Drosophila melanogaster: one gene and its partner. The protein of the gene in region 1 interacts with the protein of each later gene in a pairwise test. Each region holds a gene or a part of one and is shown on either strand. Other genes may lie near its edges.

What was found.
Region 2: the proteins of CG15124 (region 1) and CG14818 interact in a two-hybrid assay, tested with the Drosophila melanogaster proteins (2 studies listed by BioGRID).

What each region holds. Positions count from the first base shown.
Region 1 is NT_033778.4:19,640,994-19,644,355, reverse strand, and holds CG15124 (uncharacterized protein), read right to left. Parts: upstream 1,410-3,362; 5' UTR 1,319-1,409; coding exon 743-1,318; 3' UTR 658-742; downstream 1-657.
Region 2 is NC_004354.4:1,878,519-1,881,610, reverse strand, and holds CG14818 (uncharacterized protein), read left to right. Parts: upstream 1-1,836; 5' UTR 1,837-1,955; intron 1,956-2,030; exon of another isoform or gene 2,031-2,052; 5' UTR 2,053-2,120; coding exon 2,121-2,199; intron 2,200-2,260; coding exon 2,261-2,472; 3' UTR 2,473-2,592; downstream 2,593-3,092. Other genes in the region: Coa8 (cytochrome c oxidase assembly factor 8), read right to left, coding at 376-591, 665-928, 988-1,038; CG14805 (uncharacterized protein), read right to left, coding at 2,607-3,092.

The DNA of each region.
Region 1 (3,362 bases):
AGCGAATCCCCTTGCATACATACATACATACCCGCAGTTCAGCATAATAATTACAATCGCTATCAGCGCCGACATTTCACGATGAAAAACTGCATTGGCACGCAACCTGTTGTTGGCTTCCTGCTCCGGTTCCCAGCTAACTGAACACTCAGAGAAAATATTAGTAACTTGCCAGCAAATGGTATTAAAAATACTACCTGAACGGGACACGTAACTCAAGACTATTCTATATAGAGTTTAAAACTCTTGGGACATTTTTTTGAGATCTTTTTGAAACCTTTAAAATTTTTTTTGCTGTGCAGCTACAGATTCAACTCCCCAGGTCCAGCTAAGCGCTGGCTAAGAGAGGAGATGCCTGAGCACACTGTCCAGGACCAGGTCCCTCCTTTAACAGGTCCTAACTATGCAAAGCCATGAAACGCAAGTGTCGCAGGGATTATTCATGGACGGGGAATGAAGATGAAGCGGCCAGCGGGCTGTCAGTGACAGGTAAACGGAGAAAAGGGAAACGGAAGGACACGAAGCAGGAAAAGTCGAGGGGGAAAAAAGATTCCTAGGGATAGGATTTAAGAGAGGAGCACATTACTTAAGGCTAATTTCATTGCTGGAAATTCAACTATTCAATCTCGGAGAGGTGTAATAAAACATTTTGTATTTGCTTTCGCGATAAATATTTATTTTCCAGAATAGTGCGATAATAATTGCATATGAGTGAAACATGTAAAGTTTAAAACAGTCCAAATTAAAAAGTCTTTTTGACGCCTTGGCCGGAACAATGGATGTTGCTTGTCTTATTCTGCCTCTGAGTCTTATGCCAATCCATGATAAAGTCTTTGTTGATCTGGGCGACCCTCTCCAAATAGGCGACACTGCCCATGTCGCTGTCCAAAGCCAGGATTTCGCAATAAAGCGAGCTCAGCTTTATATTGCAACGTTCTACGGCGTCAGACAATTCGACTTCTCTGATTTCCGTCTCGTCTAGGAAATGCAATTTAACTTTCTCCTGATTGGTCACAAAACGAGTCCCTGCACCGGGCTTTTTGATCTCCGAATGCAAATCCAGCAGATACTTCTTAAGCTCTTGCAACGCTGCCATTTTCAGAAGAAGTCTGTCCTTTATGACTTTAAGTGCCTTGCGACATTGCTCTGCAGACACTTCCTGGCGTTTGATTAATTCAGCAATAGAGACATTGGAGTTTTTAGGTTCGGACATGAAAACCTTTATACTGTAAATGGGACGGATATTGTGCAGAGTTATGTTCGGTAAGTCCTTGCAGCTGATTAAGTCTGTAAAGTCGAGCATATTGTCGTTATCCATTCTAATTGATATCAAATTTTAACTTATTTTTCTAGCGGTTTATTTTAATAATTTAAATTTATACGAAGTTTCTCAGAAAGCAATATATGCAATGACTACTTTCCAAAAAAATGCTTTGCTATGTGATCGTTTAATTTCCCTTGTTAATTTCGTATATATAACCAATTTTAAGTTTCCTTTTTTCATGTTTCGTCATCAGCAAACGATGAATTTCTATGGATTCACTTTTAAACTTTTTATCCATCGCAATTTTATTTCATTTTTATTTGCGCTTTTTGCGATTTTTATATGCACTAAAAGTCAATTTATTCACTTGACTTAATTTGATTTCAACCTTCAAATAATCCAATAGAGTTTTTGTGCAGTCGTCCTTCACGGTTGCACCTTGAAAAAGGAGTTATTTCTGTTTTGCTGAAAGGATTGTTTACTTAAATGATTGTCAATTTATAAAAAAGTAGGGATCATGATAAAATAAATAATTCGACAACGATTGTTTAAATGTATATTATCTCATACATGTTTTGATTGCATTCTGTGAACAAAAAATTGTTCCGAAAAGCTAAATTAAATTACCTGTTCATCCTTGTATAATATTACTCATACGCAGTGGATGCCCGGGCCATTGATTTAAATTCAAGAAACTCACGAGCAACAGAAGTTCGAGAGAAGCTGCCGCAATCTCAACTGCCTCATTGTTAACCCGCACTCAATTTCGATTCCCAATATGCTCCACATAACCGAGAGTAGGGCTCGATTCTCTATGCCGGTAATCGTACGTGTGGAAAAGACGTCAGCACTGATTGCTGCATAAATGATTGAGCATGTGTGGTTGTGTGCGCCTGTCTTTCAATCCACATCGATGTGTGCGCTTGTGTAGGGCTGGAATGACTTGCCACAGACGAATCCCACTCACTATCAGCATTCCTCCATGCAACAGGACCTGCATCCCAGCGAAAAGGATGGGGTTGCATTATATGAAAATTGATGGGAAATGCCAAAATATTTAAATCTAATTTTGTGCCAGGCTGACAGGCAGCCAGCATTCGCCGAAGCCGCAGGCATTGCATTTGATTTTGATTCCCGTCCAGTTTTGCCAGCGTATTTGGCGACTTTTGCCCTGGCGAGCATTTAAATATTCAATACGATTATATTTTTAAACACGTAGCCTGGGGAAAAAAAGCCCTGACTGAACGACGGTGAAGAGTCAAATGGAAAAGGAAACTTTATTCAAAAGAAAAAATAAGAGAATATTCCTTGATGAAATAGGATTTTTTCTTTTGGAGTCGATTTTCATTTAACCCGATCAGATTTATTTTCATTTTAAATTGCAGTGAATATAGTTCTTTATGGTGCTAAAGATAATTTTTTATGCACGCTCAAAGTCCTTTAAGAAAAATGTTAATCCCAAGCAAATGAAAAATGAAATGACTTCAAAATTACTTGTCATTTTTGTTACATCAATGAGTGTGGCGAGTAAACAAAACTAAGCAATTTATATTATGAGTGTTAATAAAATATTTATAATATTTTATAAAATCTATGGTTATATTTTAAATAATATGTATCATATATATAAAAGGAAGCCTTAAGCTTTCCAGCCATATTAGTGGGAAACGTGTCCACCATTCACGGTCAACCATTTCCTTACGTTTGCTTCCTGACGCGCTTGAACAGAACTTAAAATAGAATTTAAATACCGGCAAATTGTCTGCCTTGGCACCTGTCTGCCCATTCTGCCCAGGACACCCATTGTCATCCCAAGACCCCCGCCCAACACCATTTTTCGGCCATCCAGCCAGCCAACCGTCCAACGATCCAGCGTCATTCGCATTTGCTATTTCCGTTTTGCACGGCCGTGTTGCTGTGTTGGCATTTCATTTAGCGCACAACTTCACATTTGCCTCAGTCGTTGTCTTTCTGCTGCCTTTTCCCATCGCTTGCAATTGCCATTTCCGCTTCCTGAAATTTGCCATTCGTTACACACAGAAGGACACGCCGACACACATACACAGACAGGCACACATACACACACGTGCGAAAAGGG
Region 2 (3,092 bases), on another chromosome or scaffold:
AAACTTGACTTTATGCGTGTGTGCCTTCCCCTCTGTTTACCATTATTATTATTATCATAATTGTAGCGGTTATCTTTCAATATTCGGCCACTTTACATGGGGAGCGATCCTTCTTTCGCTGCGTGTATCGTGCGCAACCTTCTTTGAATATATACACTGATAAGGATATGAACACCTACTTCTATTTTATTTTATTTAAATAGTTTGCGATTACTTTTAAGTACATTAACTAACTCCGAACAACGTGTATTTTTCATCCCCTTAAATAGTAGCTAAGTAAATTTTATGCCACCATTTTACGCACGTGATCTTTTATTCCAACTTATTGCAAACGGCAAACTGGAAATTACGAAATGGGGACGACAGATATTGCACCTAAGATCTTCGCTTGGCCAGCGCCAGAAGCCTCTGGAGCTGGACTGCGGCAGCCAGGGTGAGTATGTCGAAGTTCTTCAGGTACCAGGAGATGTTGTACATGATGTGGATGCGCCAGTTCTTGTCGAGGAACGCTTTGTAGAAGTGGCTCATCTGGTCCGCGGACACTTCGCTGGTTCCGCTTTCCTTGTGCAGGCGGATGAAGTCTTCCTTTTCCTGTAAACGAACCAATTCGAAAGAGACGACATTAGCGGACTAGAAAGAGATGGCACAGTGGTCGTGGTTGTACCTCGTAGAAGCGCTTATTGTGTTTTGTCCAGAAGTCCGTGTTCCATGCCTCCACCTCGATCCGCTTAAGACGCAGGCTTCTTGCCAGCCGCGTCTCCTCATCGCCGTAGTGCCGTACGTACGGACGTAGGTTTGATTGCGCGTCTGGCGGTCCTATATAGTCGCACTTCACCGTCTTGGGATCGGGCTTGTGTGGCAAACCGACGACGGGTTTTTCTTGTGGCGGTGGACATCCCGGCTGCACTGCGGCATAGCACCGCGGTAGCTGTGTAAACAAGAAATTGAAAATCCGAATCCTATAAGGCAACACACTCATGGACTCACGCTGAACTGGAAAAGCGATATCCGGGGCTGGCACCTAAAACATTTGTTCATTTTTCGGTTATGTTATGTGAGGTGCAGTGTGGCCGACTGTCACGCTAGGCAACAGATTAAATATTGATGCCAGCAAATATTACGGGCATTCGCATGCGATTCTCGACTGAATATCTGGAGTTCAGAAACCAGTAGCCAGTAGCCAGCCAGCTGATACATGTCGACAAAATCAAGAAACAGTTTCTTTTTCCAAAATGGTCGCATATTGCATGTTTCCAGTCGCAATTGAACCAATAGGAATGCAGCCTTGTGAACAGTTAGACCAAAGCTTAAGCAAGAGTATCAGAAGAGATGTGAACCCCTCTTGTTTCCCTGTTCGTGACACGCAATCGGCACGTCATGCTCGAGCAAATACCAAAATCCCTAGTAATTTGCTTGCGTTGTGAAAATAAAACGATATACATGCACATCTCTAAAAACAACGTAGAAACAGAGGCTAGTACACTTTCTGTTTATTATGCTCGCCTCATGATTGCAACAAGAAATCTACTGTCGCAATTCGATGCTTCAAAATTATTTCGGTCAAAATGGGCAAGATTATCGACTGTAGACACCAGGCGAACAGAAAACGTTGGAGTACGACCGCTGATCGCTCTGAGAAATTAAACAGCCGTTCATTGTCAGAAGGGGTCAACTCTGGCCAATCAACATTAAGCACTATGGGAAAGAACCGTTCGATTAAGTCCAGTCAACGCCTAGAGATACGTAAACCATTTGTTTCATTGTTCGTGTCACGAATTAGGCACGACATATGCGAATAAGCCAAAATTTCCCATGCTATTCCATTGGTACGTAAAAATAAAACGAGGCACGGGCACATCCCTAAAAACTAAGTGGAAACTTAGCTTTGGACTTTTGCAGTGGATTATGTTCGCCTAGTGTTTTGAGCTAAAAAGTGTTTTCGTAATTACAAAAACGTACGTATGTACTGAATTCCCCTATTAAGTTTTTTTTTTTATATCGTATTTGAACTGAGACCTATCGTTCTCTTCTAACCACCTCTATCGTTTATAGCTATCCCGTGACAATAAATCCAACTGGAAAAAACAAACGGAAAAACTCCGGGGAAAATTCCAGGGAAAATGTCACCCAAAAACAATCATGATCCCTCGTCGTCCGGCGACTCTGGCAACACCAATGTCCAGGAGGCGGACCTCCAAGGTGAGTTTTGACAGCGCCCCGTTTCTGCTCGGGATTGGCTCTAATGGAATGACCCCTACAGAGATGGAGGACGTGAACAACAGTCTGGACGCTCTCAGCTGTGCCCTGGACGCCGTGGAGCAGCGCACAGACGACATTATGTCCCAACTACGGGAGCTGCTGAACTCCAACCGAGAGATCCGTCGCCTGATTGCCGAGGAAAATGACAACGCTCCCGAATCGGGAGATGACAACATGGACGGGCAGGCGGGCAGCGAAGCGGCACCCAAGTAGATCCCTCTACGAGAAGTTATTGTTTTGTTCATCCAAATCGTTTTTAGGCACAATCAGTGCTGTTTTTTTTCTATTATCATGTATTTTTGTCCTAAGTCCTAAGTAAACGTAATTGAAAGCAAGCTTAAGGTTCACTATGTCTTCCGCGCTTTCTTGCGCTTTGTCTTCTCTGTGATTTCAGCCTGGCCATTGGTATCGCTAGTAATATACTTGAAAGCTATCTGGAACAAGCGCATTGACTGCGCTTTGAGGCGCGCATTCTCGGCCTGCAGCTCTTGCACTCTTTCGTCGCTTGTCTGTGCTGAGTCTGGCTGATATTCTGCATACGATTTTTCGGACTCAGCTTCCTTGGAGGCGGTTTCCATTGGCTCGGATTCAGGTTCTTCTTCTTCGACCTCGGAATCCTCGACATCTGTAGCTTTGGTTTCCGCCTCAATTCCTTCGTCGTCCTCGTTCTTTCCCGAACTCATGGACGCTATAAGTTTGAGTATTATCTCCTCATCCGTACCCGGATGACTTTGGGTGTAGTCCAGCTCCGGTGTCTTGCGTCCCCCGGAGTAGTCCGGATCGAAGAGCTCGATACAGTCATTCTCATCCCACGGACTAATCATTCGCTTTAG